Linked DNA regions of Medicago truncatula. The protein of the gene in region 1 binds, or shares a complex with, the protein of each later gene. Links are inferred from orthologs where the notes say so. Each region holds a gene or a part of one and is shown on either strand. Other genes may lie near its edges.

Region 1 (7,430 bases):
CAAATGAAAAATTACATTCTAATAATGTAGAGATTTAAAATGAGGCTTTGTAATCTCAACCATCTATTTTTTATTCAATGATTGACAATTATTCTCATCATTCTCATTTAAGATACTCGTTCTCATAGTATATGTCTTCTCTCGTAACCAAAAATATTATATGTCGTCTCTATATATATATATATATATAACACTCATGATTTGAAACCAAATCTAAGCTAATGCATACAAAATGTTGGAACAAGTATATATCTCAACCAACTCATTTGAACTAACTTCATAGCCCACACACCCAAGTTACAGCTAGACTATTATGGACTCATTGCATGTTTTTCTTCCCCCTAACTTAATTGTTTTGACTAACTTCAATGATTTAAAATAAGAAATCCTTAAATATTGACATCCATACATTTCCTTAACTTTAATAATATTTAGTGTCTAAATTATATTAGTTATTATGAATTGGTTTATTGTTCCATCTTCCCCTAACTTGCTGCTAATTAAACCACAGTTTGTTCATGCTTTTTGTCCCTAAACTTGATGAAAACTTAATTTATCAGCTTATTTACTTTTGAGGGACAAAAATGTTTTTCTTATTTTGAGAAGGACTAAAACGAGCTTCTCATATTTATATGTGAGACTAAAATGAGATTTTCTTATTTTTAATTATAATAGATGATAGTAATATTTGCATTTAAATGGAACAAAACAAACATTGTTTGTAAGGCCAATGTCAAATGGAAATACCGATATCGTTAGACCTAACGTTTTTCGTGGCTATCCGAATTCGAATCCAGAATCATCCTTTGATGTGCGTAAAATCACTTTATCTGGAGGGAAAAAAAACCATCATAATCCCTATCCATCATTACCATCAAATTCAAAGTGCATAACATTATCAAACTCAATAGCACCCGCAAGTCTAACACACAATGGTCAAATAAATGCAACTTCAAAATCCAAAATATTATGGTAACACCAAAATACAACCAACGAAACATGTAGAAAATCTAAAACACAATCCAACTAGTAAAAACTAGAAAGAAGCAGCAAGAAGATGTTATTTTTTTAAAGTTAGAAATTTTAAAATAAACTATGTGATTTGAAGGGATTTAAAAATATGGTGACCAAATTGTCCCCAAATATATTTTTAGGGACCAAAATATCTCAATTCATTTTAAATATACGTGGTCAACCACATGACAGGAATTTTTTTTTTAGGGAATGACAAGAAATTGATAATATTCCCTCAAAAAAAGAAATTGATAGAACAACTAATATTAGTTTTTTTTTTTTCCTTAAAAAAAAAAAAACTAATGTGTCGTTAAAAAAATTTAAGATGAAATTTACTTTATCCTACAGACGAGAAACTACTTTTGCTTTTGAAATATACTAGAAAACCCTAGGGGGGCGTTTGTTTGACGGTTTAAAATTTCATTCCTGGGATTAACCTTTCCTGGGAAATAATAATGGGCATCTTATTCCTGAGTATTTTTAGAAAATTGTGTTTGGTAAATAATTGTCAGATTCATGGGAATTGTTTGTGATAGTGGGTATATGGGTAGTTATTTCCATTTTAGTACCATTTACATGGGAATCTTTTATTCCCGCCCACTTTCTTTGGGAGTAAAATCATGGGTAAGTGGAAGTTATTTTTTTCCTAGGAATTCTTTATTTTCGGGAGTTATTTTTTTAACTTTGTAACAAACATAGGAATCTATAATTCCAACCTCCATATTCCTGGGAATAATTTTTTAAACCAGGAAACAAACACCCCCTAGATATTTATTTTATTGCAGAAAACTCTAAATTTGACCGTAAAATAAAAAGTAGATTTGAACCCAAATCTAAGCCAAGCTATTTACATACACAATTTGTTTTTTTCAACTAAAATAGATACAAAATGTTGGAACAAATATCTCACGCAAGTTGATTGTTTGAACTAACTCTATCTCCCTGGCTCCCAAGTTGGAACAAATAAATATCTCACGTAAATCTTAAAATATATAGTCAAAGGTTTAATTCTTTATGTATGTATGAAAAAAATCCGATTAAGAGAGTAAAACCCAATTTATTTACCCCATACATTCTTTAACGGAGATTAATCACTAATAAACATCGATGAAAACTTGCTACAAATTTCATTGTAAAAGAAAACCATCAGACTACATTTGTGCTAGATTATGAATTCTTCCCCAACGAACGAAAAAGCTAGATTATATATTCATTAACATGCATTTCTTCCCCTAACTTTATCGTTTAACTAACTTTTTTGCCAAAAAAGAAGAAAACAAACAAACTTCAATAATTGGCCATGTATTAAAAATGCTTAAAAAATAACATCCATGCATTTCCTTAACCTTAAAATTTCAAAGGCCTAACTTATATCCTTCTCTTTTCTCTAAACTAAGACAACTTTAACTAACTTTTTTGTCAATAAAAAACAAAACTAATCAACTAACTTCAATAGTTGGCCATGATTTAAAAAATAAAATATAAAAGTGCTTAAAATATGACATACATGTATTCCCTAACCCTTAATAAAATTAATTGCCTAACTTTATATCTTTTCTTTTCTTAATCTAAAATAATTTATTTTGAATTAAATGAGTTATGATAAATCGTTCGAAAGAATTCAAATTATATTTTTAACTGGAATAATTTTTTAATCAAATTTTATTTATCTATCGATTGAATTTTAGACTATTAGGGTGTGTTTGATTTGTAGAACAGTAAGTATTGGACATAACAGTACAAGATAGGACAACACAATATAAGGCAGAACAGCACAATACAAATTTTTATGGTATTGAATAATTTTCTGTATTATTTGATTTTTGGGTGACGAAATGTTATTTTTGTATTTTAGAAAACTTGTACGTGAGACAAAAGGTTGTGCTGTGGTTTGGCGATGGACAAAAATTGCAGCTTTTGTCATGTCCCTTGCCTCCAGTTTGTCATGTCCCTGAAACTGTTTTACAAATCAAACACTGGACAATTGGAGTTGTTTTGTCATGTCCTTCATTTTTTATCAAATCAAACGCACCCTAGACTTTCTTTTTATCAAATAATTTTGTGGTTGAAGCTCGCACATTTTAAACGTGGAGAAATAAGGTTGAAGCTCACACATTTTAAATATGGAAAAATAAGTTCACACATTCTAATAATTGAACTAAGCTCATAGAGATTATTGAACTCTCTTCGTAGAAGCGAACGATTAACATGAAAAAACAATAATTTACTTTCAATAATAATCTATCTAAGTCTAAGAAAAATCCAAAAGAAAAAGTGTTCATTTTTCACCTCACACTAACAAAAGAAAAAAGTGACGTGTCTAAAGACCCACAATGCCACGTGTCCATAACCGATAATGATGAGGTTTCTTAACGTGTGGTCATCACATTCCATAATGTTCCTTCTTACGTTACTATTATGTTACATTTTTCCAATGAATCGGTGTTACTCAGTTAGATATTTTCGCAACACACAAAATTACAAAAACATAGTTATCAATTCTCACCAAAATCACAACAATAAATAAACCAAACATGTTACATGAATTCAACACATTTATGTACCAATAATATTGTAACATTTTTATGAACTTTTTATCTTAAACATGGCTACTACAATTGTTAAGCTTCAAGTTTTTCCAGAGTGTAATTTGAATAAGCATAAGCTTAGAAATGGATTTGGTAGCTCAAATTCTTCATCTGGGGTGTTTGGTTTTGGACAAAATTTTGGTGGGTTGTGTTTGAAAAAGTGTAGGGCTTTCAAGAGTGAAGATGGTGGTGATGTGAAGGAGAAAAAGTTGAGAAATTTGAAGAAAAATGAAGTGAAAGTTCAAAGGGAAAATGGGTTTTGGAGTAATTTTAGAAATGTTTTGTTGGGAAATTTTATGATGGGTTCTAAGTTGGATGATGAGTATAGACAAGCTGTTGTTAGGGTTGATGAAGTTCTATCTAAGGTGAGTTCTTGTTTTTGATGTTTTATCATTTTTTAATCTGTTTGGATAATTAATTGTTTCATATAGCATAAGCACTTATCATATATGTATTTATGTACTAGTTGTTTGTTAGGGTTGATGAGGTTCTATCATTCTTGATTCTGTTTGGATTACCAACTTAATTGAGTGGTTTTAGCATATAAGTGCTTATGGATACGCTATTTCTATAACAAAAGATAAAATTAAGTGTTTATCTATAACTTGTTTTCATATGTTATCTTGGAGAGTTTGGAAACTTATGTATAGCTTATTTCTATTACAAAAGATAAAATAAGTGCTTATCCATAAGTTGTTTTCTTAAATTATCTCGGAGAGTTGCAGGAAATAAGTTGAAAATAGCTTACAGAAATAAGTTAAAAATAAGCTGAAAACAGAAGTTGTTTTCATAAATTATTCCAACCAAACAGTCTCACAAGTACTTGGTGTCACAAGTGCTTATTCTAGTAGATAAGCTCAAATAAGCAAATCCAAAAAGGCTCTTGCTGTGTTGTGTTATTTCCACTTAATTTTTACTTTCAATTTTGTGTTGTATTGTATTTTGAATGTTGAATATAACCGTGTTCTTGTATTTGTGAAAACAAGATTGCTGTTCAGATTGGGAGATATATTGTGACCATGATGAGCACTGGTGTCATCCTTGCAATTGGATTTCAGATGTCAGGTTGGTATATATATTCTACTTTCCTATTTTAGAATGTGTATTGAAAATATTTGCACTTATAGTCGAGTTTCCAACTATAGTGTAAACAAGTTTTACACTAACGTTCAATCATACCTCATATCATATATGATGTTGATTTTTTGGAAATTTTGTGAAGGTGGAGATAGTCAGATGGATGCACTGATATGGTATAGTTGGCTTGGAGGAGTTATCATTGGGACAATGATAGGTGCTAACTGGGTGTTGGAGGATTATTGTCGCGAAGGTCCGCGTAATGTTGTCATAACTGGAAGGTACGTTCACTCACTGATAGTATTCTAGAAATTGATTTCCAACATTTTTAGCTTTATTTGGATGCATGTTTAAAAAAAATTAATGCTGACATTGCTTTATTTGTGTGCAGTACGAGGGGATTGGGGAAAGCTTTGGCGCGGGAGTTTCTTCTTTCGGGAGATCGTGTGATTGTTACTTCACGAAGGTGGTATCACAAACTATGAGAACATTTTATAGAGATCAAATTAATATATTTTGTTGCTCACAACGTGTTTTTGCTCCCGCTCTCGAATTTTGTGAAGGCAGCCCTGAGTCTGTGCAAGCAACTGTCAAAGAGCTTGAGGAAAATCTAAAGGAAGGCATTGCCAATGCAGTTGGTTCATCTTTGACAAAGCTTTCTCAAGCAAAAGTTGTAGGCATTGCTTGTGATGTTTGTGAGGCTAATGATGTTCAGAGATTGGCAAACTTTGCTGTCAGCGAACTTGGTTATATTGACATTTGGGTAAGTGTGGCTGTTCTTTCTGTTGAGAACTATGTAGCTCTGACACTTGAGATTGAATGTGTCTTTGACACTTGACACGTGTCGGCATTAGACGCCAACAAGATACTGACACACGTGGTTACATTCAATCACTTTCATTTTCTTAAATAATATTTTTACAAGTGTCAGCGTGTCAGTATTAGTATCTTGCTCGGTGTCTGTGTCAGTGTTTCATAGATTGAGCATCATTGAGCTAATGAACCCTACTATCGATTTTGTTATCACTTCAATGAAAGTTTTATATTGGATTCCTTATTTCTTGCTGAGTGTGGTTTCTGCTTTTTGGTCCTAATCTAATTTTTCGTATTGTATTTTTATTCAAACTACTCAACAGATAAACAATGCTGGAACAAATAAAGGTTTTAGACCATTGCTTCAATTCAGCGATGAAGATATCAAACAGGTATGTTGCTACATAATTTCTTTTTTATTTTGTTAGAATATAAAGGCTGTTCATCTTCATCCTTAGCTTGAAAAGTTGGTTTATTTCTGTAGATTGTCTCGACAAATTTGGTTGGTTCTATCCTTTGTACCCGAGAAGCCATGCGTATTATGAGAAACCAAACCAAGCCAGGCCACATATTTAATATGGACGGTGCAGGTTCTGGAGGCTCTAGCACACCTCTGACAGCCGTGTGAGTATTCTCTTGATATTGTTGTTTCTTATCTTGGGATGTTAATTCCACTGAGCTTTTGCGATTTAAGGGCTTGTTTACTTTTTCATGATTCCTGTTTTCATTTTTACTTCAACTAATAAACATGATAGAATATAGATTCAATACTCTTCTCACCATTTCCTTTTACAGTTGTTAAAAACAGATTCAACATTTTTTAAGAAATTTTGAAGATGCCAAAAATTGTTTTTGCTGTTTCTCAAAATGCATTCTCCCTAACTATCCTTCTATCTTCTCTCTATCACATATATTCACTACATCAGTCTTCTACCACGTTGTTAGCAATTTAAAATGAACACAAATTTAAGTTAATGAAAATACAAGTAAGTGAGACATTCTTCATTTTTACTCGAAATATGCGTGATTGCGTGTATCTATGAGTGAGTGTTCTCAAAAGTCCTGGTGGATGATGATTTCATTTGTTGTGTAGCTATGGTTCTACAAAATGCGGCCTTAGACAATTTCATGGATCACTATTGACGGAGTGCAAGCGATCGAAAGTAGGTGTCCATACTGCATCTCCCGGCATGGTTCTCACAGAACTTCTTTTAAGGTAACATCTCTATTTGCAAACTTGTATTGTTTTTTCGCATGGACCGCGTACCGAAATCTTCTTCTGTAGGAATTTCCAACTTCTTTTTCTGTTGTCAACTATATTTTCAACTCGTCTTTTTTAATCTTATAATAACGAATAGCATTCTCGTGTTTGTCTGTGTAACTTTCTCTGATCTAAGTTAAATTAGTTTAATAATTGTTAGAAGTGTGGCTTTATTTGCACAGTGGTTCAACTATTCAAAACAAGCAAATGTTTAATATCATATGCGAGCTTCCTGAAACTGTTGCTAGAACATTAGTTCCACGGATGCGAGTCGTTAAGGGAACAGGCAAGGCCATCAATTACTTGACTCCTCCTAGAATCTTGCTTGCCTTGGTCACCGCATGGTTACGGCGAGGTCGCTGGTTTGATGATGAGGTATGTAATGACGATTATTTTGAGGTTGAAGTACACTTTAATTACTTGGTATTCTTTCATGTAAATGCTCATCTTTGAATATATTAATTAGGCTAAATTACACTTTTGGTCGCTTAAGTATTTTCCTTTCATTTTAATCCTTTAACTTACAAATGTTAGTCACTTTGGGCCGTTAATATTTTTTGGTTTCATATTAGTCCCTTAAGTTACAAATATCAGGCACTTAACATCATTTCTCAGTTTTCTGTTTGAGTCTGTCAAATGTTTCCTACTTGGCATTATATTTTCGACCTTGGTGATTA
Region 2 (7,430 bases), on another chromosome or scaffold:
TTAGAGTTTGAACAAAAAGTTTGAAGGGGTTAAATTATGCATATATGTCTAGTAGTACACATTGTTGATATGATTGCATATATTTTATAGGTTTAATATTTTAATGTTGTCCTTATAAAGGTTTAAGTTTAAGGGTTGCCCGTCTTATTTTATTTAGGGTTTTTGTATGTTCATTTCTAAATTCAAGATTAATTTAGTAGCTCTTCATTTTTGTTAATCTCTAACATTTGTCCTTTTTTGTGCGAAAGTCAGATATGTTGAATTCAAAAAAAAAATTGAAGTTATAATAATAACAAGTGATATGATGATGTAGCAATGTCTAATTGGATTGAGCATAACTTATATGCATCCATGTTTTCAAATTTAAATTGAAATTCACCTAAAATAAAATAAATGCATTTCAAAAATTAAATTATTCATCAAAAAACTAATTTTCATAAAATTTCTCTTTTCGCTAGATTCAAACCGGAGATCTTCAAGGTTGAAGAACAAATTTCAAACCATAAACATCTTGAAAAACCCGGGTATAGCCTAACACGAGGAAGAAAACAACATATATGAAGAACGATGATTGTAGATTTGGAGATTTAGGGTTGTAATATATCTCAATCTGTTTTTTTTTAGTTTTAATTTTGCAACTTAAATTTGTTATTTTAATTTTGGGTTATTAAATAATGGCATGTCTTGTAATTACACATGTAGATTAAGACACATCAACAACATATATGCTATATCATTATAAAGGAGACGCATTTTCTAATTTGTGGACAAATTTTGTACGGAGGAATCAAAACTGAATGATTTTGAAATTGATAACCAATTATATAAACGGATCAAAATAGAGGGATCAATACTATAATTAAACAATTTATAAAAAAAAATATTATTAATTTTTTTTTGAGAGAAAAAGAAAAAATATTATTAATTGATGATAACTAAATTTATTTGATTAAAATATTTAATCTAATTTAATTATTAACGAATAACTCTTGATTGAATTAACCACCTACTAAAATCAATCAATTATTAGCCACCCCACTCCCACACAGTCCCTCCATCCGGCGATATCATATACCTTCCAACTAGCATCTATCTTCCACAAAATTTAATTTCAAAATCATTACAATATATCATATTCAATTAGCATTTTGGGCACACCAGATATTTAGAATCATGAAGCCAAAGAAAAAGATGTAGCAATTTGGATGAGTGAACCTAGCACAACGGGTGGTTGTAGTATAAAACAAATTGAAAAGAAAGAAAGTACAAAGAAGTAGGGTTAATCGTGTATGATGAGTTCGAACTCGGTCACCACATCTTTTATGATTGTGTATGTGTGTTCAATTGAGTAAGTATTGGCAGCTAGACCAGATACAAAATAAAATATAATTTATTGTAATAATATAAAAACTAATGAATCGTGAAAATCTCTAGCAATTTCAAAATTTTGTATCATACAATTAGAGATGATTTAGATTTTTTTTTGTAACAACCATTGAGATAATCTTTCAGCCTCTTCAATAAGAAAAATCTTTCAAGTTCATCTTTTGATTGAACCTTAACATTTTCAAAATAAGATAATGATATATGTTAATACTAGTAGGCTGCATAAAGAGAAGGTATTCTTCCTCTCAAGGGACAGAAACGCATTTATCATATTAATACAAATATACAATATGTTGTAATTCATTGATTTTTCTCTTTGGTTTGGCTGGCTTGGTAACATTAATATATGTATTTACAATCTCAATTTTATATGTGGGAATACCACTTGGAAGTGGGGGAGTTGGAGCTTGGTTTATTTGAATGGACTTGTCACTCTTGTCATCAAGATGTGCTAGTGTATTCACTGCATAAGGGAATGAAAAGTATTTAAAAGAGAGATATATTAAATTAAAATAAATTTTAAGACTAATTCAATTTTTATTTTCATTTTATAGTTTCTCATGAATAATAAATAAAACATTTGTTATTACATGTTAAAATAAAAAACAAATATGTATAAAAAGTATAATCAAATTATCGATGCTAAAATAGGGCGCAAATGGAAATATTAGGCCTATTGCAAAAGTCCATCAAACAAAAAAAACATGAAAATTGCTTTTCTCACATCAAGTTTTGCTTAAAAACACATAGAAAATACCATTTTATCTCCGGCCGTAGTTAACTAGCGCTCAGTAAGCGAGTTGTGGTTAACTACCGCCGAGCTAGTTGTAGTTGGCTCAGCTGCATTTAAGTGCAGTACCTGACAGAACATCAATTGCAATTTTGCGCATTTCAATCAAAAAATCAAAATAAGTCAAGACTTATTCGGAATGCTATGAAACTTTGAAATCCCCTGTATATATTTTTATAGAGGTTTCTGCAAAGTTTCCATAGAATTTCAACTAAGCCTTGATTTATTTTGATTTTTCGATCGAAAAGCACAAAATCGCAATTTTTTCCCAAGTGCAAGTCCGAAAAAGTGACATAGAGGTCGAATTTTTTCATTATTTTTCGCACACATGTCTAGGACATAAAAACAACATCTCCAACACAAAAATTATAATTACCCAACAAGGGATGAATTAAATATGATTTTTTAATGCGCCAAAAACTCAAGAAACCAAAATTTCAAAACATCGACCTAGAATTCAATGTTAGAGATTGTTTTTTAAAAGACTCCTCTATAAAAATACATATAGAGGATCGGTAAAATTTCGTAGCATTTTGAATAAGCTCTGCTTTATTTTAATTTTTTAACCAAAATGCACAATATCGCAATTGATGCTTTGCCAGGAACTTCAATTGAGGTAAAAATTATATTTTCCATGTGTGTAAGGGTATTGTTAACGAGTGCCTTTAGCACACTTGTTAAGGATCCAAAAATAGACACAATTGATAATTTTTATGTAAATAAAGTTGCTTTTTAATATTTTCAATGTGTTAAATACACAATTTTCAAGATAAAATTTCTATTTTTTTAACATTTCCTTTTAAGTAAAACTTGATGTGAGAAAAATAATTTTCAAAAAACATTATTAATGACAAAAAAAAGAACATAAAAAGTAGAAAAACAATAAAGTACAAAGACATAAACATTTGTCTTTGGTTACACAATGGTAGTGATGATCTGTAGCCATTTCCAACATTCATCACTTTCCATCTTATCTTCTTCTTCTTCTTCTTTTTCTTCATCAAGGTTATATCTTTCCACTTCTCGTTCTTCTGTTTCTTGCTCTATAATGGATACTCAGAAGAAGCAAGGTCGTAGCAAATTTTTGGAATTTCCATTTGTTTCAGCACCCCACAAGAATCTCATGCTTGATCTTGTTTCAACAGTTGAAGATCGCTTTGAATCTCATCTTCTTCCTTGTTCACTTCCTCCTGATGTTCAATACTATAAGAGCAAGAATGGTACTTCTCAAGTTTCATTGCATATTAGACCAAGCAACACTGATTCCCCTGTAATTTCCTTTCTACTTTTTGCTCTCAAAATTCCATATTTTCAAGTTAGAGTATATATATTTGGTTGAGAACTAGGTACTTAACTTATTGTTATGTTATTTTATTAGGTTAAGTACACTAAATATTTATCATAGATTATGTTAACGTTTTTAATAAATATTTATCCAAACTCACTTTAGACACTCTATCAACCATGTTTCTCCTCTAAGGTGAGTAGTTACTAAGATGAGAAAAATTAAGAGTTGTGATTTCAACCACTTAATTTGGTTATTTGCATAATACATTAGCAATATGATAGGTAGACATCTTTAATGCGTACATCCCTTTGTACCACTCTAAAAAATTTCAGTTGATCAAATATATGGTATGTGTAATCACATTTTTTTAGTTGCGTGACCACTAGTTTTCCAAAATTTATTTGGTTAACTAAGTGGAAAAATAGTGGTCACGTGCATTTTAGTTGCGTGACCACATTTTTCAGCTTCTAATAGGAGTCACGCAACTGAAAAATGTGGTCACACAAACACTGAAAATTTTCAGAGTGATACAAAGGGGTGTCTATCAATCTTTATTCTTGTTGTTAATAGTTGATATCAGTAACTTTACTCTCTAAAATTAGTTGCTTACTTTAGATAATGACGGACCACTGAATCAAATTGGCAATGTAGATTTTTATTTTCTCTTTTCTACGTTTCTTGAATTTGAATAATTTACATTTAATATTGTAGCCTAAGCCTTGATTAACTATCATTACATATATACTTATCTTTCTTATACGGAGAAGATAGTTATTTTAGCAGTGTCTTGTGATTCTTAAAGTATTGCACTGATTGGTAGATGTAATAGTTCCTTAATTGTGATTGTTTGGGTAATTTTTTTGTATGTTGTTGAGATTATTTTAATTACTTGTTAAGGAAATCATTAACTTATCTATCTAACTATCTACAAATAGGCACTGCAGATGTCCTCACATCTACTTTTCTTCATAAATGATTTGTTATTTCAGTGAACTTCCTTATGTTGAAGAAACATAATGTTCATGAGGCCTGTTTGGATTAGCTTATTTGAGCTTACCTACTGACATAAGCACTTATGCAACTGTTTGATAGAAATTCTCAAAACAATTTATGACATGTCTATAGCTTGTTTTCAGCTTATTTTTCCATTAGTTCTCTAGGATAGGTTTATGAAAACAGCTCCATAGAGTATATAAAAATATTTTGACTCAATTGATTGTTTTATTATATGTTAAGTGCTTATGTTATAAGCGTTTAACCAAGTTGTTTATCCAACACGTGGTCTAATTATTGTTTTATTCTGAATTTGTTGTTCACTGTTCATTTTTGTTGTTGTTGTATGTCTCAGATAGACTTTGTAATGGGAAGCTGGGTGCATGCTGAGCTACCAACAGGAGGATCATTAGATATAACATCTCTTTCAGCCTATCTTAACAGTTCAAATGATGCACCAAATTTCGTGTTCGAGCTGATCCGAAGCAGTCCAACAATGCTAATTCTTGTTCTTGATTTACCACCTCGAAAAGACCTTGTTCTTTGGCCAGATTACCTTAAAACTTTCTATGAGGACACTAAACTGGATACACATAAACAGGCTTTGGAAAAAATTCCAGAGGTTCAACCTTATATCACTTCTTCGCTTTTCATCCGCAGCGTTGCATCTCCAACGGCTATATTTGTTCGCATTCAGACAGAAAATGATGAAGGAGAGCGGATAGACGAGATCATCAAGAACCATATTGACCCGGTTTCGAAGCAAGTGTTGGGGATATGGTTGGATCATTGTGCCTGTGCCGAGAGAGAAGTAGGAGAGGAAGATAAAGCTTATCTGATAAAAAGAGATGGTGTTATTAGAAACAAGACTATTGAGGTTGATCTTGGTTCAAGCTTTCCAAGGTTGTTTGGTCCAGAAGCAGCAAAACAGATACTGGAAGCTATCAAGGAGTATTTTACTGTTTGAGATGCAAGTTTATTTGGAATTGTAAATGATAGTTTGTACTTTGAAAGAGTTGTGTGCTTCTGCGACTTCGAAAGAGTTTGTAGTATGAATTAGATATCTGTGTAAGTATTTTACTAGCATTACTAAAGCTTATTAATTAAGTGAGTGATATTTTAATTTCATATGTTTGTCTGCGATAATTGCTTTGTGCGTTTGTTGGTGGTGTTAGAATGGTTCAAATCTTTTTCATTTCCACTTCAAGCAACTGTCCCCTACTTGAATGTTATAACAAGAAAGGTCTCCTATGTCAAAATTTGTGTTAGGCTTCACTTACTTTTCAAGATTATTAGACCGGCTCTGACCAATTGTCTTTAAGTTTCTGACGAATTGTCTTTAAATTTCTTAACAAGTATATTTATATCACGGTCACCGCCGTCCAAGCCAAAGGAATCAATACATCATGGTTGCCGTCGTCCAAGCCAAAGCAATCAGATAGTCAAAAATATTATCACCACCAAAAATAACTTGAACATCATCACTACATACACTCAGCTCCTCCACCAAATGAATTCCATATAACACCCCGTCGACCATAATCTCTTTTAACATCGTTAAATAACATCCAAACATTATGAACCCATTTGTGTTGGTCTGGTGTTGTTGGTTTCGATATTTGAGTGTTCTCTTTTCGATTCTCACCGGTGCCAATTTTAGTAGGCTAGTTTGACTTCTTAAAAAAACATCAAACATTGTCTTTTTTGTAGAAATAAAAACACAATTTATTTTGTTCAAAATGTTTGTAAGGTCTTTTTTGGATCTTCGAATACATTAGTGTTTTAATCTCTTAACTATTTATTTGATTTCACTTTGCTCTACCAAAAACCTCAATAAATTTTTTAATGTAAACCATTTGATTTTTAATTTTGTTAAAAATGAAATCATTGGATCTTGCATATTACTATATCTTATAACCAACCATTTTCCTCCTCTTTTCTTCATCCCCTTCTTCTCTATCTTCATCCCCATCTTCACAAATCTTCATCATATTTATAAAATTAACCCAAAAAATTAAAAAATCCAAAAGAATAAAAAACTCAAATTCATTCTAATATTCTTAATGTTCTTTATTTATTGTTTTCTTTGTCATTCTAGAAAGAAGAAAAAAATCTTAAATTGGGTGCGTATCCACTCCTTATTTTGCAATCCGATCAAATCTCATATTTACACCCAAGTAAAAAGAAAAATACACTCTTATTTTTTATTTTGGTACAATAAAAATAATAATATCTAAGACACTGTAATTTAATTTTACATAGTCAAAAAACATGTAATTTAAGTTTAATCGGAATAACTGGTTTTTGATGGCAAATGTTACGCCATCACTTGTCGAGAGAACTTGGCTACAAGGGGAATGACAGTTACCGAATGAGATTCAGATTGCTCGATAGCCAAATGTGGTATCATATATTTGCGTAGCGTGGGGTGACAATGATACTCCCGTCGGATTTGTTTGCATTGTTGGTGAGTTGTTGCTTCTTCCGTAACAAGAAGGTCACCTAGGGTTTGTTGTTGGTATGGCACACAATGGTGTGGTCATTATGGAAGGCTCGTAATGATTCAATCTTCTCTCAAAAAGTGACGTCGCCTACATCAAGAGCATCTCTTGGCAATGGTTTTTGTTTGGGTAAACAAATAGGTGCACCATCCTTTTTTTGTACGAGTGGTTTATCAACTCGATGGATTGTATGGCTAGATAGGTGATTTGTAGGAGTTCCTAATTTTCTTGGTGTGGGTTGTGCTGTTTCGCAACTTGTGGGTATAGTACCACTTGCACTCTTGTCTAGGGATGACAATTGGACTCAGGCTTGATGGGCACCCGCAAGAAGTACCCGCAATGGATAGGGTAAAATCCCCTTTATATGGGTATGGGTTTGGGTCGGGGTAATTATCCGCAAATTTAGATGGGTGTGGGTGCAGGTAAGGGCACTATACTCCCCAGCTTCGCAACCCGCATATACATATTTATA

Evidence for each region. The genes of interacting proteins can lie anywhere in the genome.
Region 2: probable chlorophyll(ide) b reductase NYC1, chloroplastic (region 1) and red chlorophyll catabolite reductase, chloroplastic share a complex: the UniProt entries of both Arabidopsis thaliana proteins name them as parts of the SGR1-CCE-LHCII complex. The link is inferred for Medicago truncatula from reciprocal best matches to the Arabidopsis thaliana genes NYC1 and ACD2.

Annotation. Positions count from the first base shown.
Region 1 is NC_053047.1:40,286,095-40,293,524, forward strand, and holds the start of probable chlorophyll(ide) b reductase NYC1, chloroplastic, read left to right. Parts: upstream 1-3,472; 5' UTR 3,473-3,619; coding exon 3,620-3,967; intron 3,968-4,588; coding exon 4,589-4,667; intron 4,668-4,824; coding exon 4,825-4,960; intron 4,961-5,070; coding exon 5,071-5,145; intron 5,146-5,246; coding exon 5,247-5,442; intron 5,443-5,815; coding exon 5,816-5,884; intron 5,885-5,976; coding exon 5,977-6,116; intron 6,117-6,585; coding exon 6,586-6,708; intron 6,709-6,935; coding exon 6,936-7,128; intron 7,129-7,430. UniProt on the Arabidopsis thaliana protein: Involved in chlorophyll b degradation. Belongs to the chlorophyll catabolic enzymes (CCEs).
Region 2 is NC_053046.1:43,223,677-43,231,106, reverse strand, and holds red chlorophyll catabolite reductase, chloroplastic, read left to right. Parts: upstream 1-3,066; 5' UTR 3,067-3,098; coding exon 3,099-3,446; intron 3,447-4,812; coding exon 4,813-5,424; 3' UTR 5,425-5,603; downstream 5,604-7,430. UniProt on the Arabidopsis thaliana protein: Catalyzes the key reaction of chlorophyll catabolism, porphyrin macrocycle cleavage of pheophorbide a (pheide a) to a primary fluorescent catabolite (pFCC).